2 linked regions of the Macaca fascicularis genome follow. The protein of the gene in region 1 purifies or fractionates together with the protein of each later gene. This does not show direct contact. Links are inferred from orthologs where the notes say so. Each region holds a gene or a part of one and is shown in the gene's direction. Other genes may lie near its edges.

Region 1 (16,252 bases):
TCACGCTGTTGCCCAGGCTGGAGTGCAGTGGCGCGATCTTGGCTCACTGCAAGCTCCGCCTCCCGGGTTCCCGCCATTCTCCTGCCTCAGCCTCCTGAGTAGCTGGGACTACAAGCGCCCGCCACCGCGCCCGGCTAATTTTTTGTATTTTTAGTAGAGACGGGGTTTCACTGTGGTCTCGATCTCCTGACCTTGTGATCCGCCCGCCTCGGCCTCCCAAAGTGCTGGGATTACAGGCTTGAGCCACCGCGCCCGGCCTCCTCTCAATTCTTAAATGCCCCCTCATTTTACCTTGAAGCACATCTTTTGTCTTTATTTATTTATTTGTTTAGATACTAGGTCTCACTATGTTGCCCAGACTGGTTTCGAACTCCTGAGCTCAAATGATCCTCTTGCTTTGGCCTCCCAAAATGCAAGGATTATAGGTGTGAGTCACCATGCATAGCATCTTTTGTCTTATTAAAAATTTAGAATGTAAGGCAAACACTGATCATACTAGGCTACCAAATTGCTATTGAAGGCTTTTTTCTTTTTGAGACGGAGTCTTGCCCTGTCGCACAGGCTGGAATGCAGTGGCGGGATCTCGGCTCCCTGCAACCTCCGCCTCCAGGGTTCAAATGATTCTCCTGCCTCAGCCTCCCCAGTAGCTGGGATTACAGGCGGATGCCAGCACACCCGGCTAATTTTTCTATCTTTAGTAGAGACAGGGTTTCACCATGTTGGTCAGGCTGGTCTTGAACTCCTGACCTTGTGATCCGCCCACTTCGGCCTCCCAAAGTGTTGGGATTACAGGCGTGAGCCACAGCGCCCGGCGTATTGAAGACAATTTTTAATACTCGAAACTATCACATAAAATAAACATCATAGCATTGGTCATATAAAATAAGCAACTTTATATTAGTCATTTCCCTTTAAGAAACAGATTAGAACCAAAGCAGTTAATTATCTTGGACATGACATAAATTCTACCTAATAGGAGACTTTTAATACTCCAGAATTACTCCTTTTCCCTCCACTGCACACTATAGAAAAAATAGTTCCACCGCAGCCCCCATTTACCTTTCCTTTAGAACCCGATCCAACAGCGACTACTGTTGCTTGCAATACTTTTCCTTGAGATTTTTCTGGAAGCATAATGCCTCCTTTGGTTACAGTTTCAGCAGCACTCCTTTCAACCAATACTCGGTCAAAGAGTGGAAGAAACTTTCTAAACGCTTGTCCTGCCTGTAGGAAGAGAAATGTTTTGAAACAAAAACTAAATGTAATCATATTATCAACAGGCAACGCCACCGTGTTGTATACATCTCAACACGTTTTGGCTTCGAAAGTTAACACCAAACCTCAGCTTATTCGTTAAGGAAACGCATTTGAATGTACTAACCAATATTCCAAGTTTAATTCCCGATTCCTTACATCTGTTAAGGGTCGTTGTCGCTCCTCTGGTGAGCAACCAGACCAGCTTTAAGGTCAACCTTAGTTTATCCAAGGTCAAATGTTTTCCTTCTTCAGGGTTTTCCAGAAATTTTCAAGAAACGCTGGGTCAATCTCCCTGCCTGGCACCATGCTTTTTACCCAAGATATTACACATCCACAAAGGCCCTGCAGAGCAGGTGGGACGCTGCGCTTGCATCCGGGTTCCCGCCACCTGCCTTACACACCCGCAGCACACGCGCGTGCAAAGAGCCCCCGGAGAAGAAAAGGGTCGGGCAGGCCTTGCCGCTCCAAGGTGCCGGCGGGCGCTGGTCACTGAGTGGCCACCAATCCCTCCCGCCTAGCCCAACAAAAGAGGGGCGTCAGTGATCCCCGTACGCCTCAGACAGGCCCGGGCCTGCGGGCTTCGGTGCCACGCGGGACTCACCATGACTCCCTCCGCCTCAGACTCGTACTCTGCTCTAGTGTAGCGCCGCAAGGAGAGACTCGCGGCAAGGAGAGACTCGCGGCGCAGCCCTGGCGACACGTGAAAAAACCGCCCAGCGCGCAGGCGCGCTCGCCCCAACCCCCGCCGCTAGCCCCCTCGCCCCTCCCCGCGAGAAAGGGCGGTCGCCCCGACGCGCGCCGCGATTCGCCCCAAGGGCCCTGCGCAGGCCGCTGACGCGAAGACTCGGAGGCGGAAGAAAAGAGGAGCTGTTTCTAGGCTTTTCTAGGCGCCCAGCCGAGGTGAAAGAACTACCCCTTCGTCCCCTCCCGGAAATGACGCGATTTTACCCTTGACCCGTAGGGAGCGCGGCACTTTCCGGAAAGTTCTGGAACTGAGCGCGGCCCGGGAACTAGCCTAAGCCGGCGGGAGAGGGCTGAGCGCGCTAGCACACCCTGCGCGGGTAGGGAGGGGCGGGGCTCGCGCGCAGGGTGTGCAGATTGCAGGGGCCCGGCTGACGGGAAGGGGGTGGGAGCTGCCTGCACACGTGGTGCCCCGGGGCGGGGGGAGAGGCGGAGGGAGGGGACACGGGCTCATTGCCGTGTGCGCCCTGCACTCTGTCCCTCACTCGCCGCCGACGACTTGTCTCGCCGCGCGCACGCCCCGCCGCCGCCCCGCAGGTATGCGGCCTTCCCACGCCGCCTTCCCCGGCGCCTGCGACCCCCAAGTGGGCCTTCCTCCTCTGAGGTCCTGCTGGAGGATGCGGGCGACGACAACCTGGAGTTCTGCACCGCACCGCAGGCCCAGGCCCACGGGTCCAGGCCTCCCGGGTCCAGGCCTCCCGGGTCCATGCGGGTTCCATCACGTGCGACGCGGATCCTGGACCTCGGCTGGGCGCAGGAGGGACAACTCACGGGGATTGAATTTGGGGGATTGTAGCCACTTAGGCCCGCTGGTGCAACCCGCGCCTGGTCGACTTCGGGGAACCGGGGAGGGTGGTGTACGCGAGGGAACCGCTTTTTTCCCCCGCAGCTAGCTGGGATACCGCGCCTTCACTCTTGACCTTGCTGGGGGCGTTCGGAAAGACGTGGGCCCGCGCCGAGTGGGCCGGGCCGCCGCCCCCAGCATCGCGGCCTTGCTGGCTGCTCTGATACAGTAGCCTTGGGTGGATCCATGGAGATACTTTGCTGAGCTGCTTTTTGCACCGCCAGGAATACTTTCAGCTTCCCTGGTCACTGGGATTTGTAACTTGCCTCTCTCCGGCTGACTTGGTTTCTCAGGGGCCACAGTTGGAGTGGGTCTGCCCACAAGGCCGTTTTCGCGGTGAAAGATTAACTCGTTTTTGGCGGCAGGGATAGGTGGCCGTGGGGAAGGAGCTGCATGTGCTTTGTGCTAGTGCTATAGGTCAGGCGCCGGGGCGGCTCTTTAGCTTGCGGTAGTGGCTGATGTTCCGAAGCTGCGGCGCCTTCCGTCATTCAGGTGTAGTGGCTGGCAGAGGTCAGCCAGGCTCACCATCTCACGTTGCTTGCTCTGTTGCACAGGTGCGCATGTTTGTGCTGCAGCGCATCATAGGTGGTAGTACTGATTATCTATTTGCTTCCATCCCCAGAAATGCTTCGGTTACCCACAGTCTTTCGCCAGATGAGACCGGTGTCCAGAGTACTGGCTCCTCATCTCACTCGGGCTTATGCCAAAGATGTAAAATTTGGTGCGGATGCCCGAGCCTTAATGCTTCAAGGTGTGGACCTTTTAGCCGATGCTGTGGCCGTTACAATGGGGCCAAAGGTATCAGTATTTTTATTTTATTATAATTATGGTAGTATTAATAGCATTTTGCTCACAAATAGTCGCACTGAACTGTTGAACAGTACTTTCGTATCCATTTTTGAGAACTCAGTTTACATGTAAGAATTCTGAAGTATTGGTTAACTTTTTTTTTCTTAGACATGATCTTAAAGCTTAAACTGCTTCAGCCAGATTTTCGAAACTAGTTTGTTCAATGTGTGATGTAATCGGGTAGTAACATAGCTCAAGATGGATTCTTAAACTCGAGGTAGAATTTTGCTTGCCTAAGTTAAAATTTGGATCCTTTCTGAGTAGTTCATGCCAAGTGTAGAGAGAAGAGTTTAACTTATCTTCCATAATCCCTCAGGTATGTGCTTGTAGGTGCTAAATTTTTTTTTTTTTTTTGGTTTATTGTAAAATGTACACAACATAAAATTACCATTAAGTGTGCACTTTGGGGACATGGGGACATTAATTACATTTATGTTGTGCAGTCACCACCACCATCCATCTCCAAAACTTTTTATATGGGAAAATTGTAATTTTGTACTCATTATACAGTAGCTTCCCATTCTCTCCTCCACCTCAAGATGCTAGTTTTACCTATCGGTTTTCTGCTGTTCTCTTGTTCCGAAGCATATTTAAAATAAGTCTCATTTAATAGGGGTAATATTTTGAGGGGGGCTTTGAAGGTGGTGTGCGGTCAAGTGGTGCTTCATTTCAGTTTGAAGACAGTTCAGATATCAAGTGATCCAAACAACTGCATAAAACACAACATTTGCACACCTCACGAATAGAAAGTAGCAGCTTTAGTTCAAATCCAAAGGATGGTCAATAACTGTGCCATGGTTGAAGTTGTATGTTGAGTGAACTTGGAAGAGCACACTACTTGCCTTGATGGTTAATATTTTAAACGAATTTTAAAACAAGTCACATTGCTTTAAAAGATAACAGGCACTAACTAAAACTTAGGTATAAGTGATAGGAAGATTGTTTTATTCTTTGTCTTGTGTTCTTGTTCATTTTATAAGATGACAAATTTTAGTCCCTAGTATTTTAATCTTCTAAATTACTTAGTTCAAAATTATGCTCTTGGCAGAGAAACAGGTCATTCTGTCTGTAGACAAAGAATGTCGATAAACTTGCCCTTGAGATTCATGCTGCAAGACTGATAAAAATGACACAACTTATGTGGAGACTTTGAAGTAGTTGCTTTATTATGAAGACTGCTCATTTTTTAAAATATAAGTAATCCTTAGGGTATGTGTGATCCTGTTACATTTTTTTTCTTGTAGGGAAGAACAGTGATTATTGAGCAGAGCTGGGGAAGTCCCAAAGTAACAAAAGATGGTGTGACTGTTGCAAAGTCAATTGACTTAAAGGATAAATATAAAAACATTGGAGCTAAACTTGTTCAAGATGTTGCCAATAACACAAATGAAGAGGCTGGGGATGGCACTACCACTGCTACTGTACTGGCACGCTCTATAGCCAAGGAAGGCTTCGAGAAGATTAGCAAAGGTGCTAATCCCGTGGAAATCAGGAGAGGTAGGAATGTCTATTGTCACTACAGTGTTCTAAACTTCAGTGTGCTTTAAGGCATTGATTCCTTGGAGCTAAGGAGAGTGTCTGTTACTTTAGGAAATTGATCCTTCTCTCATTCCTCTTGGCCTGGAGAAATCTTAAACTGGGTTTTCCTTTAGCAAGTAGTGATTGAATGCCTGGCTGTATGGTGGGTAGGTACTGTTAGGTAATTTTGATGTTTTACTTAGTTGGTTTCTTTTGTTTTTAGAGACAGGGTCTTGCTCTGTAGCCTAGGCTGGACTGCACTGGAACTCCTGGACTCAAGCAATCCTCCTGCTTCAGCCTCCAAGTAGCTGGGACTACTACAGGCACTCACCACCATTCCTGGCTAATTTTTAGTTTAGTTTTGTAGAAAGTAAGATTGAATACACTGGATCATTCAGAATGTCAGAAAGTAATGTTTTTTGTTTTTTGTTTTTTGTTTTTTGAGACGGAGTCTCACTCTGTAGCCCAGGCTGGAGTGCAGTGGCCGGATCTCAGCTCACTGCAAGCTCCGCCTCCCAGGTTCACGCCATTCTCCGGCCTCAGCCTCCAGAGTAGCTGGGACTACAGGCGCCCGCCACCTCGCCCGGCTAGTTTTTTGTATTTCTTTAGTAGAGACGGGGTTTCACGGTGTTAGCCAGGATGGTCTCGATCTCCTGACCTCGTGATCCGCCCGTCTCGGCCTCCCAAAGTGCTGGGATTACAGGCTTGAGCCACCGCGCCCGGCAGAAAGTAATGTTTTCCTCAGTTTATTTTTTTTTATTTTTTTGAGACAGTCTCGCTCTGTCCCCCAGGCTGGAGTACTGTGGCGTGATCTACGCTTACTGCAAGCTCCGCCTCCCAGGTTCACGCCTCCCAAGTGAACCTCCTGCCTCAGCCTCCCGAGTAGCTGGGACTACAGGTGCCCACCACCATGCCCAGCTAATTTTCTTTATTTTTTAGTAGAGATGAGGTTTCACCGTGTTAGCCAGGATGGTCTCGATCTCCTGACCTCGTGATCTGCCTGCCTCGGCCTCCCAAAGTGCTGGGATTACAGGCATGAGCCACCGCGCCCGGCCCATTAGTTTATTTTTTCTTAATAGCACACACCGTGTTATTGGTTTGTGTTTTGTTAGTGCTTGTAACTGGAGTGCAACTTAATTAACAGATTTGCTCCTCAGCATGAACTTCATGGCAGTGTAGACTTAAATTCTAGTCCCATCTTTGTCATTTATTAGCTGTGTGCTAAGACTTGGTTTTCCTATCAGCAGAATTGCTGTGTATATCCAGCGTATGTTAGGGTTGAAACCAGGAACCCTCTTGTGAGTGAAGGTGGGGGAGCTATTGATAATTTTTTGTCAGAATTGGCATACTAATGTATCATTACCTCATATATTTCAATGTTTATGGACCAAGTGACTACACTTCACTAAAAGCAATTTTTTTTTTTTTTTTTTTTTTTTTTGAGACGGAGTCTCGCTCTGTAGCCCAGGCTGGAGTGCAGTGGCCGGATCTCAGCTCACTGCAAGCTCCGCCTCCCGGGTTCACGCCATTCTCCTGCCTCAGCCTCCCGAGCAGATGGGACTACAGGCGCCCGCCACCTCGCCCGGCTAGTTTTTTGTATTTTTTAGTAGAGACGGGGTTTCACCGGGTTAGCCAGGATGGTCTCGATCTCCTGACCTCGCGATCCACCCGTCTCGGCCTCCCAAAGTGCTGGGATTACAGGCTTGAGCCACCGCGCCTGGCTACTAAAAGCAATTTTACTGTAAATCACTAACAAGTATTAAGGTTATGAAGAGGACTTCCCAACACTTTGCATTGGATTTTTTTTGAAGTAACATTTCTCAAACAACAAGAGAGCTAGCACTACTCCCAGTTGAGCAAAATAGGACTGTTAAGAGTGATGTAAAACAAAAATATTTTGTTAGTTCATAATACATACTAAATTGAGGGGTTTTCAGATAATTGACACCTGCAGAGGCATAGTCACAACAGATTCCTATCACTTAAGAACTATACTTCTTGTTGAAAATAAGGGAGTGTTAACCATTTTGGTCCTTTTTTGCATCATCTAATGGACATGAGAAGTGTTGGGGACCCTACTGAAAACAGGCAGCATGATTGAGTTAGGAATAATTTGCATAGGATGAGTTCAGTGGTGAGACTCTTGAAACTATACATATCTACCTTGTTTTAGTCCTATTTTCTTTTTTTTTTTTTTTTTTTTTTTTGAGACGGAGTCTCGCTCTGCCACCCAGGCTGGAGTGCAGTGGCCTGATCTCAGCTCACTGCAAGCTCCGCCTCCCGGGTTCACGCCATTCTCCTGCCTCAGCCTCCCGAGGAGCTGGGACTACAGGCGCCCGCCACCTCGCCCGGCTAGTTTTTTGTATTTTTTAGTAGAGACAGGGTTTCACCGTGTCAGCCAGGATGGTCTCGATCTGACCTCGTGATCCGCCCGTCTCGGCCTCCCAAAGTGCTGGGATTACAGGCTTGAGCCACCAGGCCCGGCCTTAGTCCTATTTTCAAAATTTTGGCATTGTGAGATTTTATTTACTGTGTGAACCTAAAGTTACTGTTTAAGTACATGCCATGCAACTCTGTGTTATTAAGAAGCACTGTCTCAGAAGCTGTGTGTAAATTTAATATTAAGGCACTAAAGACCAAGCATAGGTACATGCCTGTAATCCCAGCTACATGGGAAGCTGAGGTGGGAGGATCACTTGAGCCCAGGAGTTCAAGACCAGCTTTGGCAACATAGTGAGACTTTGTCTACAAAAATAAAACGAGCTGAGCACGGTGGCTTGAGCCTGTGGTCTCAGCTGCTCCCTTGAGCCCAGGGTGTCAGGGCTTCAGTGAGCCGTGATCTGTGCTACTGCACTCCAGCCTGGGCGACAGAACAAGGCCCTGTCTCAAAAAAAATAATAAAAATAAATTTAAGGCATTAAAATATTTGTAACGAATCTCAAGATTTCTACTTGACTTAGAAGCCATGAGAGAAACAAACATTGTAATGACATATTGTTGAACTAGGTGTGATGTTAGCTGTTGATGCTGTAATTGCTGAACTTAAAAAGCAGTCTAAACCTGTGACCACCCCTGAAGAAATTGCACAGGTAAGGACTTAACATGTTATATGTGTTTTTAAAAAAATTTAATGGCATGTGTAATTTTTTTTTCCTTGATCACACCAATGTCAGAATAACAATACTACGCAATCATCAATATTAGAATCATTGTTTCTTACTGCTAAAACCTTTGAAAAGAATAGTGACCCTAATGGTTGTCATTTAGTTCTGCATGTGGTTGTCATTTTATTTTTTTATTTTTTTATTTTTATTTTTTTGAGACGGAGTCTCAATCTGTCACCCAGGCTGGAGTACAGTGGCCGGATCTCAGCTCACTGCAAGCCCCGCCTCCCGGGTTTAGGCCATTCTCCTGCCTCAGCCTCCCGAGTAGCTGGGACTACAGGTGCCCGCCACCACGCCCGGCTAATTCTTTGTATTTTTAGTAGAGACGGGGTTTCACCGTGTTAGCCAGGATGGTCTCGATCTCCTGACCTCATGATCCGCCCGTCTCGGCCTCCCAAAGTGCTGGGATTACAGGCTTGAGCCACCGCGCCCGGCCGTGTGGTTGTCATTTTAGTTCAACATGGCTGTAAAATGGATTTGTATGTTGTGAAAATGTTCTTAGCCATTGTCAAAGGTGCATAAATTTTGTCAGTTTGTAATGAAGTCAGCATTTTTAAACTTTTTGTTACAAGAATAGTTTTGTTTTTTGTTTTTTTTTTTTTTTTGAGACGGAGTCTCGCTCTGTCGCCCAGGCTGGAGTGCAGTGGCCGGATCTCAGCTCACTGCAAGCTCCGCCTCCCGGGTTTATGCCCTTCTCCTGCCTCAGCCTCCTGAGTAGCTGGGACTACAGGCGCCCACCACCATGCCCGGCTAGTTTTTTGTGTTTTTTTTTTAATAGAGACGGGGTTTCACCGTGTTAGCCAGGATGGTCTCGATCTCCTGACCTCGTTATCCGCCCGTCTCGGCCTCCCAAAGTGCTGGGATTACAGGCTTGAGCCACCGCGCCCGGCCAAGAATAGTTTTATATATCATATTCTTCAAAACAATGTAGTCAAATAATGAATCAGAAAAGAGCAAAGAACCAGTGTTTCATGAAAACTACCATAACGTAAATTCCCCTTCTCTCCCCTGAATGGAAGTATCAATTTGGAAGTTACTAGGAAAAGGTAAGGGAACTGACTAAGGACACCACCCTTACCTTTTATTGAAGAGTAACTTGATTATTTCAGGTTGCTACAATTTCTGCGAATGGAGACAAAGAAATTGGCAATATCATCTCTGATGCAATGAAAAAGGTTGGAAGAAAGGGTGTCATCACAGTAAAGGCAAGTGTGTTTGTATTTTTAAAGATAGTTTGAGTTATCTGATGATCAAAAGTTTGAGTTATCTGATGATCAAAACTGAATTTTCCAAATAGAAAAATTCTGTGTTTTAAAAACAGTGCTTTTTTATTCCTTCATATGTAGTCTCAGCACATGTATAGAATAAAGTACTTACTGTGTTTTATGTGAATTCGCCTTTACTCCATGAAATGAATCCATCTTAACTTAAATGATTATTCAAATAAGCACTTCTTGGAATTTTTTGCAGAAGTGTAATTGGATGTCCTGGGCTTTTTCATACTCCACCCTACATCTCTTATGGCCAGAGGAGTCTGTTTTTATTAATCTGGCCTGTAATTCCATGTTTTGTTTTCAATGAAATCAATATACCTAATTCTTTGATATTTCATAGGATGGAAAAACACTGAATGATGAATTAGAAATTATCGAAGGCATGAAGTTTGATCGAGGCTATATTTCTCCATACTTTATTAATACATCAAAAGGTAAGAACAAATCAATAACTGAGTAATTATTATTATTTTTTATTATTTTAGGCAGAGTCTCATTTTCTGTGGCCCAGGCTGGAGTGCAGTGGCGAGATGCAGTGGCGCATTGCTTACTGCAACCTCCGCCTCCTGGGTTCGAGTGATTCTCCTGCCTCAGTCTCCCGAGCAGCTGGGATTACAGGCACACGCCACCATGCCAACCTGATTTTTGTATTTTTAGTAGAGATGGGGTTTCACCAAGTTGGCCAGGCTGGTCTCTTAACTCCTGACCTCAGGTGATCCACCTGCCTTGGCCTCCCAAAGTGCTGGGATTACAGGTATGAAGTACCATGCCTGGCTAATTTTTGTATTTTTAATAGAGACAGGGTTTAGCCATGTTGACCAGGCTGGTTTTGAACGCTTGGCCTCAAGTCATCTGCCTGCTTTGGCCTACTGAAATGTTTAAAATATACTTTCTTAATGTGTGTCAAACTATAGGTATTAGTTGGTGTCATACTCTAAAAAATAAATGTGTATATTCCAAAAGTTAATGCATATTAGACATGAAGGAGGAAAACAAACTCACTGATCAATTTTAAAATGTATTGGAACCTTGGTTTAGCTTTTCACTTAAATACATTGCAGTCATTTTTTGTATATTTTTGAAATCTTCATTATTTTTACAGGTCAGAAATGTGAATTCCAGGATGCCTATGTTCTGCTGAGTGAAAAGAAAATTTCTAGTGTCCAGTCCATTGTACCTGCTCTTGAAATTGCCAATGCTCACCGTAAGCCTTTGGTCATAATCGCTGAAGACGTTGATGGAGAAGCTCTAAGTACACTCGTCTTGAATAGGTAATAGGCAGTGGTATTTGATGATTTATATTTCTGGGTCAAAGACAGAATTATTTCTGTTTCTATTCGCAGTCTCCATCATGTGTACCTCCACATTTGATCCAGTTGTGTTTGTATCTAGAATTGTCATTGTGTAAATCAGATGTGCTCTATGTATCCTTATGGTTCTGTTTTTGAAAGGGACCCCAAATTCTTTACTATTTTGCCCAGCTGTCACGTAGAACAGACTGATTTAGCACATTGGTACCTTTCTATATTTTGCAAGTGTTTACAGTTGTTTTGAAGGTACATGACTGGATCTTGTAATTTTTTTGTTTGTTTGTTTGAGATGGAGTCTCACTCCATGGCCCAGGCTAGAGTGTAGTGGCATAATCGTGGCTCACTACAATCTCCATCTCCTGGGTTCAAGCAATTCTTCTGCCTCAGCCTCCCGAGCAGCTGGGACTACAGGCATGTGCCACCACACCTGACTAATTTTTGTATTTTTAGTAGAGACAGGGTTTCACCATATTGACCAGGCTGGTCTCAAACTCCTGACCCGTGATCTGCCCACCTTAGCCTTCCAAAGTGCTGGGAATTACAGGTGTGAGCCACTGCTCCCGGCTTGTAATTTTTTTTTTTTTTTTTTTTTTTGGCGACAGAGCCTCAGTCTGCCTCCCAGGCTGGAGTGCAGTGGCTCAATCTTGGCTCAAGCCTCCTGGGTTCAAGTGTGAATCTTTTTTTTTTTTTTTTTAAAGGTTTTTCTGGTTAAAAATATGTATATTTTCAGAATATTATTTTGCATAGAACAGGGAAGTAAACAACTAACATTCCAAATAACTCAAATGGGCCAGGCACAGTGGCTCACATCTATAATCCCAGCACTTGGGGAGGCACAGGCAGGTGGATCACCTGAGATCAGGAGTTCGAGACCAGCCTGGTCAACGTAGTGAAACCCCATATCTACTAAAAATATAAAAATTAGCAGAGCTTGGCGGTGCACGCCTGTAATCCCGGCTACTCAGAGGCTGAGGCAGGACAATCGCTTGAATCCAGGAGGCAGAAGTTGCAGTGTTCCGAGATTGTGCCACTGCACTCCAGCCTGGGCAACAAAGTGAGACTCTGTCTCTAAATAAATAACTGAGATGTAAGTGTATTTCACCATCGAATATTTTTTATTTGTTTTGAGAGACAGACTCTGTCACCCAGGCTGGGCTGCTGTGGCATGATCATAGCTCACAGAAGCCTTGAACTCTTGGTGTCAAGCAATCCTCCTGCCTCAGCCTCCCAAGTAGCTGGGACTACACACTTGCACAAGCACACTTGGCTGATCTTTTAATTCTAAGGGCATTATTAAAATGTTTGTTCTTCCTTATCTGAGAATTGAAGTATGTCAGAAGCAAGACTTTTCTTTCCATTTCATTATAGTAGAAATGCACAAATTAGGAGGTATGTTTTAGACATTACATGTGTTGATGTGACGCAAAAGCTCTAATGAGCTGCCTTACCCTGGAACGTTTTTCTTAGCTTGGATTTGCTTTGTTGGAGGGATTAAGAAAAGACTTGGCCAGGAGCGGTGATTCATGCCTGTAATCTCAGCACTTTGGGAGGCTGAGGCAGGTGGATCATGAGGCCAGGAGATGGAGACCATCCTGGCTAACATGGTGAAATCCCATCTCTAGTAAAAATACAAAAAAAAATTAGCTGAGCGTGGTGGCAGGCACCTGTAGTCCCAGCTACTTGGGAGGCTGAGGCAGGAGAATGGCGTAAACCTGGGAGGCAGAACTTGGCAGTGAGCCGAGATCTCACCTTAAAGACTTGAGGCCAGAAAAAAACAAGTCTACGGAGTTTTCATTAGGCCATTTAACTGCTAGTTGAAAACTGGGATATCCAGTTTACATAGCATATAGCTTATTCCTCTAATTTTTATTTGGGTCCTTAATAAAATAGACCAGCTGTCTTGAAGTTTGAACATTCCTTCTGTTTCACAATCTGTTCTCAAATGGACATTTGATTGCACATTCTAAGTATTCATTTACCTGGCAAAAATTTCAGGTGAGCTTAACAATACTGTCAGCTTTTTGTATAACATTTATAAAAGAAGTGAATTCAGAACATTGCTCATTCAAAACTCAGCATTAATACAATCTATGGAGTAGATGTTTATTAAATGACCCTCAAATGTAGTATTTAGTAATTATTTTTCTACCATTCATAATAGTTAATCACTGTATCCTATAACTTATTGTGATGTGATTTTTGCTGCTCAGCCTCCCGAGTAGTGGGGATTACAGGTGCCTGCTACCGCATTTGGCTGATGTTTGTATTTTTAGTAGAGACGGGGTTTCACCATCTTGGCCAGGCTGGTCTCAAACTCCTGACCTCGTGAGCCACCACGCCCGGCAAGGCCAACAGTTTATTAAGAAGATAAACAGATATGAACAAGTATAGATTAATAGAAAATAGCCTTAACTGTCTCACATCTTTCCTGTCTTAATTTGATCAAAAATTGCTAGGAAGCAAAAAAAAAAAAGCAAAAACCAAACCAGATTACTTAGGGAGTCCTAAGTAATCTAAGTAGTAACAGAGCTTGAGGGGAATTTAAACAGAGGCATTTTTATTTCATTTAAATCTTACTGTCAACTATTCTTAACAGGCTAAAGGTTGGTCTTCAGGTTGTGGCAGTCAAGGCTCCAGGGTTTGGTGACAATAGAAAGAACCAGCTTAAAGATATGGCTATTGCTACTGGTGGTGCAGTAAGTAAAATAAATGCGATAATGGTTTGCTGAATGTTTATACTTGTCTGAAATTTATAGATAGTTTAACATTTTTCACAATTAGATACTACAGCTATCTGTTTCTGTTGGCTCTTTGGAAGGTAGGGGTTGGATTAAATTCCCTTTAATTAGCTACGAGGCCACGAGTCTGGCCTAAGAATGGGCTTTTATTGACTATTCTATATTCACTAAATCTTACTGACTGAATAAGGGGTTTCTTTTTTTTTTTTTTTTTTTTTTTTTTTGAGACAGGGTGTCTTGATCTGTCACCCAGGCTGGAATGCAGTGGCACAATCTTGGCTCACTGCAACCTGCGCCTCCCGGGTTCAAGCAATCCTCCTGTCTCAGCCTCCCAAGTAGCTGGGACTACAGGTGCAGTACCATGCCCAGCTAATTTTTTTACTTTTAGTAATGGTGGGTCTCACTATGTTGCCTAGGCTTCTCAAACTCCTGGACTCAAGCAATATGCCTGCCTCTGCCTCCCAAAGTCCTGGGATCTGTTTTCAGTTTTGAAAGATAAAAGTGTGTGCTACAAATGATGTAGGACTTGAGAGTCAAGGCCTATGGTCTTGTCCTGGCTCTACCAGTAAGTGTGACCTTGGATGTTTTTTTCTCAAGTAAGGCTAATAATAATTACCAGAGTTGGGAGAATTGAGAAGTTGGAAATGCAATGGAAGACTATACTCAAGTCTTGTTCTGGACTAACAATGATCTTACAGTCTCTCATTTCAAAGAATATTTCAAGATGATTCTCTTGCCTGGTATATTAATAAACTTGGTATAATGGTAGAAACTGTAACCTACAGCTGGTTTACGTTTAACTCATTTTGTAGGTGTTTGGAGAAGAGGGGTTGACCATAAATGTTGAAGACGTTCAGCCTCATGACTTAGGAAAAGTTGGAGAGGTCATTGTGACCAAAGATGATGCCATGCTCTTAAAAGGAAAGGGTGACAAGGTTAAAATTGAAAAACGTATTCAAGAAATCATTGAGCAGTTAGATGTCACAACTAGTGAATATGAAAAGGAAAAACTGAATGAACGGCTAGCAAAACTTTCAGATGGAGTAGCTGTGCTGAAGGTAAGATTCATTATTATGAATAAGTTTTTTGGGTTCTGAGTCCAAGAATGATTGTCCTTCTGTAGTATTCCCCAGTAGTACCATGGAACTAAACAAATATTTGAGGAATTAATAGTGGAATTTTGTTTTGTTTTGTGGGTTTTGTTTTTTTTTTTTTTTTTTTTTTGAGACAGAGTCTTGCTCTGTCGCTCAGGCTGGAGTGCAGTGGCTGGATCTCAGCTCACTGCAAGCTCCGCCTCCCGGGTTTACGCCATTCTCCTGCCTCAGCCTCCTGAGTAGCTGGGACTACAGGCGCCCGCCACCACGCCTGGCTGGTTTTTGTGTAATTTTTTTTAGTAGAGATGGGGTTTCACCGTGTTAGCCAGGATGGTCTCAATCTCCTGACCTCATGATCCGCCCGTCTCGGCCTCCCAAAGTGCTGGGATTACAGGCTTGAGCCACTGCGCCCGGCCTTGTTTTGTTTTAAGCCCTCCGTCACCTAGGCTGGGATGCAGTGGTGCAATCTTGGCTCGCTGCAACTTCCGCCTCCTGGGTTCAAGCAAACCTCCTGCCTCAGCCTCCCGAGTAGCTGGGATTACAGGTGCTTGCCACCATGCCTGGCTAATTTTGTATTTTTCGTGGAGACAGGGTTTCACCATGTTGGCCAGGCTGGTCTCAAACTCCTGACCTCAAGTGATGCACTCACCTCAGCCTCCCAAAGTGCTAGGATTACAGGTGTGAGCTACCATGCCCACCCCAGGATTGCTTTTTAAGTAAACTGCTTTTAAATGACTTGGCAATTAGCATCTTGAATGAAGAGGCCATACTAACTGAAATTCTTTCATCTTTAGGTTGGTGGGACAAGTGATGTTGAAGTGAATGAAAAGAAAGACAGAGTTACAGATGCACTTAATGCTACAAGAGCTGCTGTTGAAGAAGGCATTGTTTTGGGAGGGGGTTGTGCCCTGCTTCGATGCATTCCAGCCTTGGACTCATTGACTCCAGCTAATGAAGATCAAAAAATTGGTAAAAAGTTACCTTTTAAATGAGTTTGTGGCCTGATTTTAGTGTTTCTGTTAGAATAATAATGTTGCAGTCCCCTAAATGGAACAGCACATCCATTTCCTGAATAACAGAAGTAGAATAGTGCTAATGTCAGAGCTAAACATGCATCACATCTTTTTCAGAGGAAATTATTTGACCTGTAGTAGGATTGGGATTTCCCTACATCAATATCCTCACAAATTATAAATGTGTTATAATATTTACAAATGAAAGTATTAAAATTTTGCTGAAATTTCTTTGTAGGTATAGAAATTATTAAAAGAACACTCAAAATTCCAGCAATGACCATTGCTAAGAATGCAGGTGTTGAAGGATCTTTGATAGTTGAGAAAATTATGCAGAGTTCCTCAGAAGTTGGTTATGATGCTATGGCTGGAGATTTTGTGAATATGGTGGAAAAAGGAATTATTGACCCAACAAAGGTAAATAGTTGAACACTTTCTAAAAATTCTTTT
Region 2 (16,352 bases), on another chromosome or scaffold:
CTTCAAAATAAAATGCACTAAGTATGCACATGGGTGAAGACTGAGAAACAATAAACAATAAAAAGTATCTTTTCAGGGCAATGAGGACAGGAACACTTTTAACCTAACCCCAATATTTTCTTTAACATTATGGTTAGCAAACAAACACAAACACACACAGGCTCTGGTTAAACAAGGTGGACCCACCACGTCGGTTTCACTGCCACTCACATCCATACCTGTCTCCCAAACTGCACGAAAACATAATTGAACATAAGAAAGACATAAAAATACACAGGATACTTCAGCAACATTTAGGAGGCAGAAGGAAGGTGGAGGAACAGCACATGACGTGCCAGTGGTGTGTAGGCTGACCTTGGTCAGGGAGAACCAATGTGCTTTGGGCTGACTGAGGCCGTTGGAGTCATTATTAGACGAATGTGCTGTGGTCACACGGGACTGCTCTTTTGTTTAAGGGCAGCAGGCATTGTATCAGCAACTTACTCTTAAGTGGTTTTGGAAAAAAGCTACAGACACACACAAAGGCAAAAGTAGTAAAAGCTTAGCAATCGGGGGCTGGGCGCAGTGGCTCACGGCTGTAATCCCAGCACCTTGGGAGGCTGAGAACAGAGGGATCACTTGAGGTCAGGAGTTCGAGACCAGCCTGGTCAACATGGTGAAACCCTGTCTCTACTAAAAATACAAGAAAATTAGCCGGATGTGATGGCAGGTGCCTGTAATCCCAGCTACTCAGGAGGCTGAGGCAGGAGAATCGCTTGAACCCAGGAGGCGGAGGTTGCAATGAGCTGAGATCGTACCACTGCACTCCAGCCTGGGTAACAGAGCGAGACTCCATCTCAAAAAAAAAAAAAAAAAAAAAAAAAAAAAAGGTTTGCAATGGGGAATTTGGGTTGAGGTATAGGAGTTCTTTGTGTTATTTTTGCAACTTTTCTCTAATTTAAAAATGTTTTAAAATAAATAGTAAAGAACAAAAATAGGTTTTTTTTTTCCTACAGTTTTAAATAATTTTAATCCAAAGAGAAATCTGTATATGGTGAGCTCACCTTTGTAACCTGTAGGTCCCCGATGTTTAATTTTAGAGCTCCAATTGCTGTTTTACACAGGATCACTGCCTCATCACTACTTTTCACCTAAGACATCAAAAACAAAAACAAGAAACCTCAGAACGTGGGCAGCTGACTAACAAAAGAAGCCAGCTACTTGCACATTAACGCAACCTTGATGACTAGAGACCATGTGGTCTCTCAAGGTCTGGATGGTGAGCATGGACACAAACTGTAAGTCATCCATACCCTAAAAGGTATTGCTCACATCTCACATTTACCTTCTCACGAGTCTTTTCCAGGAAAGTAAGAGCCACATTAGGATCTGGAAAAGAAAGAACAGTCAGAAGAACCATCAACAGACTGGTTTCTACTAACCAAGACATCTTTAGGTAGGATAATCTTTAGGTTTTGACCATAAAGTAGAATAAAAATACAATATTGGATACAGAAAGCACAAAAGTTCAGTTAACTTATATTTCAAGATAATTTTAACTACCACTTGGATCTACTCCTTTATAAAACAAAGTAAGACTTACCAGTCATCTGTCTAACTACATGAAGAATGATTTCTACCAGGGACAAAGGATTCACCCTGAAATGAAAACCACCAGTCTTTGAGTACCAATGAGTATCAAAGTACTCATCTGCAAAGTAAAAAAGGGATGAAAGGGTTTTACCTGTGTTCAAATTCACTGATAAAGTTTTCATAAAGCTGTGAAACCAAAACACGGAGAGAAATTACAGGATGTCTTGTATTCTGCAAAATGAAGACCCCAGATACTATTTTTGGTACAGAAGCTGCATCAATGCTATCAAGTTGGGAGTGTGCAAACCACAATGCCCATTACACAGTAAGCAATGCACGTTTGCAGAATGACAGGAGACCATATTAGGGCTTATTTACATTCACGTATGATCAACAGATTATTAAGGAACATTAGGTTTCTTCTAGCTTTGGGAATTAGGGTACGGACCGATAAGAACCTCCAGACAAATTCCTATATTCTTTCTTCCAGGTATTGTAAGTTAAATAGACATCAGATTGAAATGCTCCCCCAGTTTTCTCCCTGTGGCTTCTGGGCTGTTGGTATTTGGATGCTTGTGAAGACGGCTTGTGCCGCTGTGTGGTCTCCAGCCGACCAGGACAGGTTTATTTGTATCTATCCTGTTTGTTGAAGTAATAAGAAGACCATTGTGCAAGGAAGGTGAAACCCCATAAGTAAGTCTGTTGAAAATCCTACAGCTAGAGGTTCAAGACCTATGTTCAGCAGTTGGACTTAATGCATTTCTTGAGAAAAAGAGAATGTACTCTAGAGAATGGAATTGTGATGTCTAGTACAAAGGCAGAGTCTGGGCCCAGCTCAGACGGGAGATGGCAGCCTCTGTCTTGCACATTTCCCATCACATGAAGTCAGTAACGTTGTGTGCAGCATAAACGATACCTCAACTAAAAACAAGGACACAAAAAAACAGGAAAAGCAGGAGGCAGTGACCAAAGTCTTCAACAAGGAGAGGGAAGAAAAAAAGGGAAAGGAAAGAAAAAGACGTAACAAGCGGGGCACAGTGGCCCACGCCTGTAATCCCAGCACTTTGGGAGGCCAAGGTGGGCGGATTACGAGGTCAAGAGATTGAAACCATCCTGGCCAAAATGGTGAAACACCGTCTCTACTAAAAATACAAAAATTAGCTGGGTGTGGTGGCACGTGCCTTTGGGAGGCTGAGGCAGGAGAATCGCTTGAACCTGGGAGGCGGAGGTTGCTGTGAGCTGAGATCGCACCATTGCATTCCACCCTGGGCAACAAGAGCGAAACTCCATCTCAAAAAAAAAAAAAAGAAAAAGAAAAAGACATAATGTAGTATCAGCACCAAGTATGTGGTACTACTTGGTATGCAAAAGCCTCCATTAAGAGACCTGAAGTACGTAGTAGCCTCCATTAAGAGACCTGAATGGAGGCTTCTAATTTGTATCAAAGGAAAACAGAAGCGTTTCGTTTGCATTATTTACCTGAACTGTGAACCCTTGTGCCTCCCATCTTTATCAGAGTTGACAGTGAAATAACCTTGTATCAGAAGTTTGCACCTCACTTTTATGGAGTATAAAATAAGTTTTTTGACTTTCAATGCATTTTTTTTGGAAGAAAATATTTTAAAACGGACAATGGCCTATACAATAAGTTACTTGAAATCTTATATCTATCTTCTGCGTAAACATATTTCAGATAAATTTCAATTAGATTTGAAATACACATTTTGTTCACCTATTAATGAAATAAAATTTGAAACAAAAAAGAAATGCTCGCTAATCAAACGGAATGGAGTTCCTTCAGATTTTAGAAGGTTAAAGCTAATTGTGCGCCATTTTGAAATTTCTTAGCCACTCAGCACACTTGAGCACTTCCTCAGACTCCATGCTAGGTAGTACAGCACAGAACGTGTAAGACAAATGATGGGTCTTCAAGGAGCTCCTGGTCTACTGAAGACAGTCTTTAAACAAATAAATGACAATACAGTGAGTTTAAGTGCAAAAAGAAAGAAAGAAAAAGCACAGAAGTGCATCAGCCAAAGGGAGAAGCTTCAAAGACGGTTACTGCAGAAGTGGCAATACTGAGTTTCGGGAAAATGAGCACAGTTAGAGAGGTGGCCACGTGGTGTGGGAGAGGAAGAAGCTGAGAGAAGAACATTCCAGACAGTAACAAACATGTGCAAAAGCACTGAAGACAAAAATACATTATGTTTCAGGAGTAGTTCTGAGGGACACAGACTAGGAAGCACTGAAGATTGGTCTCTGTCCAGAGTGCAAGGCTGAACCAGAGGACCCACATGATCATTTCTATTTTAGAAACATGCCTGGGGCAGAGAGGACAGCAGGTGAAAGAGACCGAGAACAGTCAGAGGCTAGTAGTGGCCAAGACAGGAGCGTGAAGGAGCAACAGTAATGAGGATGGATGAATACTCTGAGAGAGATTTAGGGGTAACTTGAAGCAGACTCACTCAGATGTGGGCTGGTCACAGAGAAGGAGAGCTGACAATAACCCCTGAGCTTATGGCCTGGGTAACCGGGCCAAAAGAGTGCCTAGTGTGGGCACAGTGGGAGAGGGACCCTCCAAATGACCTTAACTTTGGATTAGGAGAGCCTGTAGTTCCTCTGGGATACGAAGGTAGAAGGATGAACACACCCCTGTAGCAATTACATGTTTGAATCAGGCACACAAGAAACAGCCAACTAAATAAAATGGCATTTGTGTCCCGAGGCTGTGGCTCACATCGGTAATGCGGCACTTTGGGAGGCCGAGGCAGGTGGATCACTTGAGGACAGGAGTTCAAGACCAGCCTGGCCAACATGGTGAAACACCATCTCTACTAAAACTACAAAAATTAGCCAGGTGTGGTGGCACATGCTTGTAATCCCAGCTACTTGGGAAGCTGAAGCATGAGAATGGCTGGAACTGGGGAGACGGAGGTTGCAGTGAGCTGAGTTCTACCATTGCACTCCAGCCTGGGTGACAGGGTGAGACTCCGTCCCCTTGCCCCCCAAAATAAATAAAATGGTGGCCAGGTGGTGGTTCACACCTGTAATCCCAGCACTTTGGGAGGCTGAGGTGGGTGGATCACCTGAGGTTAGGCGTTTGAGACCAGTCTGGCCAACATGGTGAAACCTTGTCTCTAATAAAAATACAAAAATTAGCCAGGCGTGGTGGCGGGAGCCTGTAATCCCAGCTACTCTGGAGGCTGAGGCAGGAGAATCGCTTGAACCAGGGAGGCGGAGGATGTAGTGAGCCAAGACTGTGCCACTGCACTCCAGCCTGGGCAACAAGAACGAAACTCTGTCTCAAAAAATAATAATAAATAAAATTTTTGGCCGGGCGCGGTGGCTCAAGCCTGTAATCCCAGCACTTTGGGAGGCCGAGACGGGCGGATCACGAGGTCAGGAGTTCGAGACCATCCTGGCTAACACGGTGAAACCCCGTCTCTACTAAAAAATACAAAAAACTAGCTGGGCGAGGTGGCGGGCGCCTGTAGTCCCGGCTACTCGGGAGGCTGAGGCAGGAGAATGGCGTAAAAACCCAGGAGGCAGAGCTTGCAGTGAGCTGAGATCCGGCCACTGCACTCCAGCCTGGGCGACACAGCGATACTCCGTCTCAAAAAAAAAAAAAATAAAAAAATAAATAAATAAAATTTTAAAAATGGCATTTTTGCTACAAGAGACTATTTCAAAGATATTTTCCTTATTAGAGGGAAATGTTTGAACTTTCCTGACATCTATTGATCTAAAAAAGTACCTTAAAAAAGAAGCCCACTAAGTCCAGAAAGTCAAAATTACTTCTGGTGACTACAAATTCACAAATACTAGAAATTCACAAATACTAGAATTTCACAAATAATATCCATTTACACTTATGCCGACTGGATCCCAACAATTTTTAAAGGTTTATTCTGTCCATGGGAAAAGTAAACTCAGATCTGCCAACTTAAATAAACATCACCTTACCGTGAGGTTGCGGCCATATTTTGCCACGTGTAGAAAAGTGATTTAAAGATAAGAAGCCAAAGGACAGAGATAAACAATTAGGAATCATCTATCCTGATGATTTAGAACCTCAGGGAACAAGTATTAAGACAGGTCTCAGGCCAGGCACGGTGGCTCCTGCCTACAATCCCAGCAGTTTGGGAGGCCGAGGCAGGCAGATCACCTGAGGTCGGGAGTTTGAGACCAGCCTGGCCAACACTGGTGAAACCCCATCTCTACTAAGAAATACAAAAATTAGCCAGCTGTGGTGGTGGGCACCTGTAATCCCAGCTACTTGGGAGGCTGAGGCAGAAGAATCGCTTGAACTCGGGAGGTGGAAGTTGCAGTGAGCCAAGATCGCACCATTGCACTCCAGCCCGGGCAACAGGAGCGAAACTCCGTCTCAAAAAGAAAAAAAAAAAAAAAGGCAGGTCTCATTTATCATTTTCCCACATAATCCAGAAGACTGAATGTTCAGCAAAATCTCCAGGCTTACAGATGATTTTAAGTTCCTCTAAATAGTAAAATGTCAAATTGATGGCTATAAACCACAAGAAAATCTTACAAGCCCAGGTGGTGGGGTAGTAAGGTGGTAAGCTCTGTTGTGAGCATATAAAAGTAATGTATTCCGGAGAAATGACTCAAGCTGTAATTATAAGCTATCAGTTACAATGCTGGTGTGAATCTCTGTTTCATTCAGAATGAGAGTAAGATGTCAGGAAAAACTTCAAAGAGGAGGCTACCAGTGAGCAAATTTGTGGGGATGTGTCAGGGGATCTGGGGAAGGCTAGGAAAGAAACTGCGTTTTTTTAAACTGTTGAAAAAATTCTAGAAGTCCTCTATTACAGAGGCAGCATGACACTATTCAGAACTCTCCCTCCAACCCACCTACCCTCAACCGAAGTACAAAAGGTGCTTTATCTTCCACACTACCCAGGACAGAAGTGTCTGGGAAAGCAGTCAGTGTGGCTTAAAGAAGGGGAGTGATGGAAGTTATCTAAGATTCCCACAGATAGTAATCTTCCTCACACCTTACTCCACCCTCTAACTGGGTTTGAACTTTGTATCTAATAACAGTTTTCTAAAAATAGAGTACTAAAAAGAAGCCTATGAACTAAGATACTCAGGCATGTTTTAAGATAGTACTTTATGCCAGAATTTTAGAAAAAGCCAGAATGTTAGTGTTTGAATCCTCTTCTGCCACTTATTAGCAGTGACCTATAGTAAGTTACTTAAAGTCTTACGTTTGCTTCTACATCAAAAAAGTGAGATGAAAGTAGTATCTACTGAGCAGCGTCGTTAGGAAGGACGTGTAAAGCACTCAGACCAGTACCTGACATAAAGGGACTTCTGAAGAATTGTAGCTTATTATTATTATTATTAGCAAAAAGCCCATCTTATTTTAAAAAGTCCTTGAGCACATTCATATAATCTGACCTGGTATCGCAAATTATTTACCTTAATGAGACCATCTCCTTGGGCAAAGCACGGATCCTGCACAAAATCAAGCACCTGAAGTGTCAGCTGATGCCACAACCTGAAAAACATACAGCCCTTAAGACCTCTAACCTAATATCCAGTCACAGACACCTTCAGCCTTGATGATCCTATCAAGTCACAAATATAGGTTGGGTATCTCTAATCCAAAACTCCAAAATTCAAAATGCTCCAAAATCCAAAACTTTCTGAGCACCAACGTAAGGCTCAAAGGAAACGACCATTGGAGCATCTCAGATTTCAGATTTTTGATTCATGGATACTGAATGGGTAAGCACATATCGAAAATATTTCAAAATCCGAAAAAATACTAAATCCAAAAAACTTTTGCCCCAATGCATTTCTTTCTTCTTCTTTCTTTTTTTTTTTTTTTTTTTTTTTTTGAGACAGAGTCTCACTCTGTTGCCCAGGCTGTAGTGCGGTGGCACCATCTTGGCTCACTGCAACCTCTGCCTCCCAGGTTCAAGTGATTCTCCTGCCTCAGCCTCCCGAGTAGCTGAGATTACAGGCATGAGCCACCGTGCCCCGCCGCCCCAATGCATTTCTGGTAAGAGATGCTAAATCCATACTAACCAGTGTCTACTGTGTAGTAGAAAGAATGCTAAAGCAGATGCGATAAACCTGAGTTCTTTTCCTGGCTCTGCTGTTGAATGGCTATGTCACTTTAAGATCACTTAACTTCTCTCTAAGACTCAGTTTTCCCAGGTATGAAATGGAGAACATTATTCTAGATTACCTCAGAGGGTTACTGTGAGGTTTGATTGGAAACGAGAACTTTGGAATCATACATATCTACCTTGAGATTCTGGCTCTTCTACCTATTAGCTAGTATCTCAGGGAAGACAATTAAAACGAGCTTCAGTTTCCTCCTCTGTGAAAAGGATGAATAAAGGATTAAATAGCGCTTCATCCAAAACCTAAAGGCTAATATTTAATAACGCATATGAAATGCTTTGAAAATTACCAAGTGCTATCCAACACAAACCATTATTTGCCAAACATTAATTTGCTCTCAAAAACTGCTAATAGCAGAAGGCTGCTGAATGCTAAACATCATCAAAACATGTATGGAACATCTATGTGAAAGGTATTATATTAAATGCTAGGGTTAACAGGGAGGTTACTACAGGAGATGTATTTTCTATGGAATAGCTCCAGCCCAATGCCAGCAATTTATCCTATCATTTTAAAAGGAGATTAGTGCTTAGCAACAATTTAATGGCTCTGCAATTCATCCTGTTTCTAAACAAACTTAAACTTTAAGATCTTTCTAGGGGCACACAGCCCAGCGAGAAATACAATGGAAGGTAAAGACAATGGGACGGGGTGCAACCAGTTGCAGAATGAATAGGGAAGAGAGCAAAGCTGCACTAGCCTCTGGTTTATCAACTCCAGACCATGAGAAAGATAACTGTGGATACAGTTACACCATGCCAAGGCTAAGCGCGAATCACCAAGATCTGTTTCTCAAAGTGGGTGGCAATCTGGTTCTGAAAGTGTGTTTGCTTGTTTCGCTGGAATACAGAGCTAAAAGCAAAGGCTTCCCCTGAACCGTCTTAGTAAGACCCGAGGTAGACGAGTTCAGAAGCCTCAGTCACAGTCCCTCGTTAGGGAAGCACTGAATCTCAGACCCAAACATCCCTGGCTACAGCTCTTGGCCCTCGTGGTCTGTCATCCTTCTTATTCCTCGACCCTGCCACTCGGGGTTCCTCAGCAAACCCTGCCGGCACAGCCAGTCGCTACACGTCCCCGTTTCCCCGCAACTTGGGTCTGGGCGCCCTCAGCCCATCAAGGGCCCGCCTCTCCGCCCGCCCGCCCCCTCCGTCTCCCTCTATCGCCGGGGCCCAGGGCCCGTCTGTCTGCTCGGAGCTTACTTCTTCGTGTAGAGTTCCTCCAGACGGTGCCACACAGCGGGCTGTCCGGGCCCGGAGCTCTGGCTCTGCTGTAGGAAGCCCGGTACGTCCTTCATGACAGCAGGAAGACCCCCGGCACAGAAGAACAACCGGGATGTCAGCCCCGCGGGGATGTCTGCCGGAAATGCTCACTCACTTCCGGCGCCGCGCGGCGCGGGGCAGGCTGGGAGCGCCGTAGCCGGCCGGGGGGCGGGGCCCGCTGGTTGCCCGGTAACCGCGCATGTCTGCGCTCGGAACAAAACTCTCCGGCGTTTGCAGCCCGCTTCCCGCGCACCTGGTTGTGCCACTGAGGCTTAAAAAGTATGGGTGCCTGTGGTCGAACCGGCCATGGACTAGCTTTGTGGTGTCAGCCTTTGTGACCCGGAATTGCTGCTCTCAAATGACCTTCCCAGTAGGGTCTTGCGAGGACTAGGTGTAAATATAATGCCTGACCATAGTAAAAGCGCTCAGAAAGTATTAACTGTCACCGCCATCCGGGTTGAAAAAGGTGTGAGCGCAGGGTACAGAAATGCTGGCTCCAGGTTTGACCTCCTGGGCGAGAGGTCAGACACCAGACTAGGGAACTTCCTCTACTCGGCCTCAGCGTCTACCAGGTCGCGCCGGAGGCGTGGACACGGAGGCGGGGCCGGGAGGCGGAGGCGGGGCCGGGAGGCGGGGCCGGGAGGCGGGGCCGGGAGGCGGGGCCGGGAGGCGGAGGCGGGGCCGGGAGGCGGAGGCGGGGCCGGGAGGCGGAGGCGGGGCCGGGAGGCGGAGGCGGGGCCGGGAGGCGGAGGCGGGGCCGGGAGGCGGAGGCGGGGCCGGGAGGCGGAGGCGGGGCCGGGAGGCGGAGGCGGGGCGAGTCCGGAGGACTCCTCAGGCTGCGGGGAACACGGCGTTCTGGGGTTGGCGCGCCGTGGCAGCCGTCCGGGTGTGGGGCCGGGTAGCTGAACGGGCCGAGGCCGGGGGAGACGTGGGGCCGTTCCAGGCCTGGAGCTGTCGGCTGGTGCTTGGCGGCAGGGACGATGTCAGTGCGGGACCGAGAGGCAGCCGCGGGGTCCGCGGTGAGCCCTTGGACTCGGCGCGCCCCTTGCAGAGGCCTCCCAGACCCGCGGTGCCCAGGGCATTCCGGAGGCAGCCGAGGGCAGCAGCTCCCGGTTTCTTCTTTTCGAGGTATTTTGGGCAAGGACAAGCACTTCTTGCGTGTTCGTTGTCTACACCTCGCCCCCCTTTCTCACCTTGCGGTGTTTCCTTTGAGGCATGTCTGGGAGTTACTTCCGTTCCAACACCCGCCCGTCTTTACGCTGATCTGTGGACGTCCTTTACGGGGTTTTGTCGTTTAGTTCACCATTCCCCCATTGAAATATCTTCTAACCTTTAGTTACTTACATCATGCTGTGGTGAATAACCTTGTTTGCACCTCACTTTTTGCATAAATTCCTAGTACTGGGACTGCTAGGTCCAAAAGTATATGCATTTAACGCTTTAATTATCCCTCATAAATGTTGTGCGGTTAATGCTCCCACCCCATGTGATCATACCCGTCTCCATAGTAATTGCATCTAAGAGCTGAGCCTACATAGGAAAAAATCTTAAGGTCCATGGTTGTTAGGTATCAAATGCCCTATGATGGATGAATATTTAAGTAAATAATGGTACATTGACTTGATGCTGTCTGACACACTGCTGAAAATATTGGTGAAAAGTGAGGCTTGAAGTGGTAGCTCACCCTTGTAATACCAGCACTTTCGGAGGCTGAGACAGGGCGATAGCTTGAGGCCAGGAGTTCAAGACCAGCCTGGGCAACATAATGAGACCTCCATCTCTACAAAAAATTTAAAAATTAGCCGGGCATGGTGGCGCAAGCCTGTTGTCCCAGTTACTTCTGAGACTAAGGCAAGAGGATCCCTTGAGTCCAAGAGTTCAAGGCTGCAGTGAGCTATGATTGAGTCACTGCACTCCAGCCTGGGTGACAGAGCAAGACTCTTATCTACCTGGGAAAAAAAAGAAAAAAAAAGTTTAATAGATCCTGAAATGTCGGCTGGGCATGGTGGCTCATGCCTGTAATCCCAGCACTTTGGGAGGATGAGGCAAGTGGATAACGAGGTCAGGAGTTCGAGACTAGCCTGGCCAACATGGTGAAACCCCGTTTCTACTAAAATTACAAAAATTAGCTGGGGGTGGTGGTGGGCGCCTGTAATCCCAGCTACTCAGGAGGCGGAGGCAGGAGAATCACCTGAACCCGGAAGGTGGAGGTTGCAGTGAGCTGAGATTGCACCATTGCACTCCAGCCCAGGCGAAAGAGCAAAACTCCATCTCAAACAAAAGATCCTGAAGAGTCAGTCATTCATCCAAGAAGCCCTGACTGAGCTCTTGTTCTGTGCCAGACTCTGTTCTAGGTGCTATGGATGGAGCGGGGACCAGGACCGACAAACACATGGAGCGCATTCTAATATCAGTGATACTCTGCAAGACTGTTAAACAAATCCTTGCTACCACTGGCCCTAAAGCAGGAGGCACCGGGCTCCCTATGAGGAGTCCATTGCATGGGCTTTCTGCAGTTTGGCTTTGGATTTTGGAGCTCTCTGAATTTGTTCTTTGTGTCCTTTGCACAGTGTCCCTCCCAGGTTGCCCCCATGCCTGCCCCTCAGGGTCCCCCACTCCCAGTGAATTTCACACCATGCAGCATATACTTTAAGCCATACATCTGATGTTCCAGACATTTGGTAAAATGCCGTTTATATGTTATTCAGTGACTCACAAACATTTTATTTACGTAGATGAGGAATGTACTCAGGCACCCTTCGGGATACCTTGGCCTCAGCAGGCACTCAACAGCCATAATAACTTTCATTCCTTTATGCTTCTCTTAACAGTTCATGTTTAGTAGCAGCACAGTAGCTATTTGAGGAATGACTTTAAGTTAATAAATGTCTGAAATGGGGCGTTTAATAGGTGGTGAGATGGTTTTAGAGCCAGGGTTTTCCCTCTTTGCTTCTCGACTACTTGACGAGTTTTCATTAGAAAACCCCTTTGGGGCCGGGCGCGGTGGCTCACGCCTGTAATCCCAGCACTTTGGGAGGCCGAGACGGGCGGATAATGAGGTCAGGAGATCGAGACCATCCTGGCTAACACGGTGAAACCCCGTCTCTACTAAAAATACAAGAAAATTAGCCGGGCGAGGTGGCGGGCGCCTGTAGTCCCAGCTACTCGGGAGGCTGAGGCAGGAGAATGGCGTGAACCCGGGGGAGCGGAGCTTGCAGTGAGCCGAGATCGCGCCACTGCACTCCAGCCTGGGGCACAGAGCAAGACTCCGTGTCAAAAAAAAAAAAAAAAAAAAAAAAAGAAAACCCCTTTGGAGGTTTGCACTCAGAGAGTTGAGTGCCTACTGAGTGTACTGAATTATGAAATGAGCACAGTTCCCATTAACCTGAAATTTTTGCTCCCAAATAAGTCTTGATTCTGATTTATGACTGCTTTCCGTTGTAGCCCACTAGTCATCTGAGAAAGGTGATTATTTTGAGAGGCCTGGGAGGACATACATGGTCATTCTGGATGGTGGGGGTGGTGCAGAGGGCAGAACCATGCTTTCTTGCTATCCTGAGACTGGTCGCTATCTGTTTCCTTTGCTGCTGTGTTTTTTTCTGTCAGTATTAAAGGTGGAAGAAGGCCTATATCTTTTTCTGTGGGTGCTTCAAGTGTTGTTGGAAGTGGAGGCGACAGTGACAAGGGGAAGCTTTCCCTGCAGGATGTAGCTGAGCTGATTCGGGCCAGAGCCTGCCAGAGGGTGGTGGCCATGGTGGGAGCCGGCATCAGCACACCCAGTGGCATTCCAGACTTCAGGTACTGCCCGCAGTCCCACCTGCCTTCTGCACTCCCCTCCCCTGCCTCCTGCCCTCCCCACTGCCCGGTTTCTTGCAAAGGCCTCAGAGCCTCTGTCTTCTCTCCCTGCAGATCTCCAGGGAGTGGCCTGTACAGCAACCTCCAGCAGTACGATCTCCCGTACCCCGAGGCCATTTTCGAACTCCCATTCTTCTTTCACAACCCCAAGCCCTTTTTCACTTTGGCCAAGGAGCTGTACCCTGGAAACTATAAGCCCAACATCACTCACTACTTCCTCCGGCTGCTTCATGACAAGGGGCTGCTTCTGCGGCTCTACACGCAGAACATCGATGGGCTTGAGAGAGGTGAGCCCTCTGTGAGTCGCACACATTCTTTTTCTCACAGGGAAGGCTCAGGTGCCTGTTTCTGGGGACGGCCGAAGCCTGGTGTTTGTGCTTCTTCCTTGGGACTGTTTTTGAGCCAACTAGTTAGGGCTTTGTTCCCAAGGAAAATGTCTCTGGGTGTTTAAAGGCCACTGCTTGTTCTCCTACATACCTGCAGAGCTGTGTATTTTGGGCAGAAGTTGACATTGTTTTGCCAATCTGGTGTGATGATCTCTCTTTTTTCTTCTCTCTTTTAAAAATTGTATTATGGAATTTTTTTGAGCACACGCAAAGAGAAAAATGTAACGAACCGTCCTGTCCTCATCACCAGCACATAGCCAGTCCTTCCTGCGTCCTCACCACTTTCTTCCAAATCCCCAGATTATTTTGAAGCAAACCTCTCATATCATGAATTTAATCTAGAAATAATCTATAAACACATGAATGGATATCTCTAGAGGATACTTTAAAAACAACTCCGGCCAGGTGTGGTGGCTCACATCTGTAATCGCAGCATTTTGGGAGGCCGAGGCAGGTGGATCACCTGAGGTCGGGAGTTCGAGACCAGCCTGGCCAACGTGGCAAAACCCCATCTCTACTAAAAATACAAAAAATTAGCCAGGCATGGTGGCGTGTGCCTGTAATCCCAGGTATTTGGGAGGCTAAGACAGGAGAATCTCTTGAACCCAGCAGGCGGAGGTTGCAGTGAGCCGAGATCATGCCACTTCACTCCAGCCTGGGTGACAGAGGGAGACTCTGTCTCAAAAAAATAAATAAAAATAAAAATAATTAAAAAAAAATAAAACCAACTCTGATACCATTTTCACGCTAAAGAATCACTAGTAATTCCTTAATATTGTCACACCCAGTCTGTGGTGATTTCTTGGCCATATCCACATGGTGCCCAAACCAGCGGTTCACAGGTTGTGCCACCTTCTGGCCGTGCACCTTGCGGAAGCACTTGGTGGGGCCTTTTCCTTAGTGCAGTGCTGTGGACAGGCGCTGGGACAGTCAGCCCTCCGGGAGCCAGGAGCGGCTCAGCCAGTCTGCTGATGTGTTGTCAGGTAAAAAGAGGAGGCACCTTGGCTCCAGGCATGTGTTTCCTTGCCAGAAGGATCCCCTAGCTTGGAACCACAGAGGCAGCAGTGGGTACCCCATGTTGGTGGTCTCTTCTCCCAGAGGTGCAGCAGGGCATGCCTTGTGGGAAGGCGGGAGCTCCTGGCTGTGAGATTCAGCACTGCTGAGTTAGGGCAGCGACAGGGACTTGGGAAGCCTCCTACAGCGGGGACCATGACAACACTAACACAGCCTTCATAGGAAGTCACTTTTTGTCTGGTTTTCTACCAAGCCGTTCTTTTGGAATTTATGATATTTATATCCTCATTTTAACTTGGTATAGAATAGAAAATGTGTTCCTAGATATTGGATACAATTTTTTGAGGCAGGGTCTTGGCTCTTTTGCCCAGGCTAGAGTGCAGTGGCATGATCATAGCTCGCTATAGCCTGAGCTCTTGGGCTGAAGTGATCCTTTTGCCTCAGCCTCTGGACTAGCTGGGACTACAGGCATGCACTGCCATGCCTGGCTAATTTATAAAATTTTTAAAGACAAGTCTCACTATGTTGCCCAGGCTGGTCTCAAACTCCTGGCCTCAAGTGATCCTCCTGCCTTGGCCTTCCAAAGCACTGGGATTACAGCTGTGAGCCACTGTGCCCAGCCTGGTATTGGATATAATTTTTTTTTTTTTTTTTTTTGAGACGGAGTCTTGCTCTGTCGCCCGGGCTGGAGTGCAGTGGCCGGATCTCGGCTCACTGCAAGCTCCGCCTCCCGGGTTCACGCCATTCTCCTGCCTCAGCCTCCCGAGTAGCTGGGACTACAGGCGCCCGCCACCTTGCCCAGCTAGTTTTTTGTACTTTTTAGTAGAGATGGGGTTTCACCGTGTTAGCCAGGATGGTCTCGATCTCCTGACCTCGTGATCCGCCCGTCTCGGCCTCCCAAAGTGCTGGGATTACAGGCTTGAGCCACCGCGCCCGGCTGGATATAATTTTTTTTTTTTTAGAGACAGAATCTCTCTCTGTCGCCCAAACTGGAGGGCAGTAGCACGATCTCAGCTCACTGCAACCTCCACCTCCCAGGTTCAAGCGATTCTCCTGCCTCAGCCTCCCCGAGTAACTGGGACTACAGGTGCCCGCCACCACATCCGGCTAATTTTTGTATTTTTAGTGGAGGTAGAGTTTCACCATGTTGGCCAGGCTGGTCTCAAACTCCTAACCTCAAATGATCTGCCCACCTTGGCCTCCCAAAGTGTTGGGATTACAGGCGTGGGCCACCGTGCCCGACTGGATATAATTTTATTTGAGCTTTTATCAAATGGTGTTTTGTACTGAGTTTTGACAGGCTTTGTTTTAACCGTGATTTGGCTCCAGCTGGGCGCCCCTTTGCTCCCCTGCCTTATTCTGGTTGGTGGTGCATGTAGGTGATATGGGCATGAACACCAGGCTTGAGGACATCGCAACCCAACGGGGTTGTGCCTCCTTCCAGGAGGCCTGCCAAGCCCAGAAGTTGTGCTCTGGGACTTGTGTGCTCATCTTGGAGGCAGCAGCAACACTTAGCTTTGGCTTGAATTTCAGTGTCGGGCATCCCTGCCTCAAAGCTGGTTGAAGCTCATGGAACGTTTGCCTCTGCCACCTGCACAGTCTGCCGAAGACCCTTCCCAGGGGAGGACTTTCGGGTGAGTTATCCTGCTGTCGGTCGTCCTTCTGCAGTTTGCTGTTGGGGTGATCTGGAAAAGTGGTATTTTATAAGCATTGTCTCGAAAGGACAGTTGAACAGTAATAGTATGAAAATTTTTATTTGTAAATTAGAAATTTAATACATGTTTGTAAAACAATTTAAGATAATATAGAAATATGTAGGGAAAGGCCGGGCGCGGTGGCTCAAGCCTGTAATCCCAGCACTTTGGGAGGCCGAGACGGGCGGATCACGAGGTCAGGAGATCGAGACCATCCTGGTGAACACGGTGAAACCCCGTCTCTACTAAAAAAAATACAAAAAAAAAAAAAAACTAGCCGGGTGAGGTGGTGGGCGCCTGTAGTCCCAGCTACTCGGGAGGCTGAGGCAGGAGAATGGCGTAAACCCAGGAGGCGGAGCTTGCAGTGAGCTGAGATCCGGCCACTGCACTCCAGCCTGGGCAACAGAGCGAGACTCCGT

The links.
Region 2: the proteins of HSPD1 (region 1) and SIRT3 purify together in Homo sapiens (affinity purification with mass spectrometry; 3 studies listed by BioGRID and IntAct, counting the BioPlex papers as one, with this or other methods). This does not show direct contact. The link is inferred for Macaca fascicularis from reciprocal best matches to the Homo sapiens genes HSPD1 and SIRT3.

Annotation. Positions count from the first base shown.
Region 1 is NC_088386.1:93,104,852-93,121,103, reverse strand, and holds the start of HSPD1 (60 kDa heat shock protein, mitochondrial), read left to right. Parts: upstream 1-2,004; 5' UTR 2,005-2,157; intron 2,158-2,228; exon of another isoform or gene 2,229-2,318; intron 2,319-2,476; exon of another isoform or gene 2,477-2,535; intron 2,536-3,464; 5' UTR 3,465-3,466; coding exon 3,467-3,640; intron 3,641-4,935; coding exon 4,936-5,188; intron 5,189-8,215; coding exon 8,216-8,298; intron 8,299-9,482; coding exon 9,483-9,578; intron 9,579-9,987; coding exon 9,988-10,081; intron 10,082-10,749; coding exon 10,750-10,918; intron 10,919-13,553; coding exon 13,554-13,653; intron 13,654-14,507; coding exon 14,508-14,753; intron 14,754-15,583; coding exon 15,584-15,758; intron 15,759-16,040; coding exon 16,041-16,219; intron 16,220-16,252. Other genes in the region: HSPE1 (10 kDa heat shock protein, mitochondrial), read right to left, coding at 1,060-1,224, 1,859-1,861. UniProt on the Homo sapiens protein: Chaperonin implicated in mitochondrial protein import and macromolecular assembly. Together with Hsp10, facilitates the correct folding of imported proteins.
Region 2 is NC_088388.1:113,650-130,001, reverse strand, and holds the start of SIRT3 (NAD-dependent protein deacetylase sirtuin-3, mitochondrial), read left to right. Parts: upstream 1-9,147; 5' UTR 9,148-9,183; coding exon of another isoform or gene 9,184-9,263; 5' UTR 9,264-9,386; coding exon 9,387-9,505; intron 9,506-9,817; exon of another isoform or gene 9,818-10,112; intron 10,113-12,590; coding exon 12,591-12,782; intron 12,783-12,893; coding exon 12,894-13,126; intron 13,127-15,772; coding exon 15,773-15,873; intron 15,874-16,352. Other genes in the region: PSMD13 (26S proteasome non-ATPase regulatory subunit 13), read right to left, coding at 1,044-1,130, 1,325-1,368, 1,583-1,638, 1,724-1,758, 7,012-7,090, 8,925-9,019.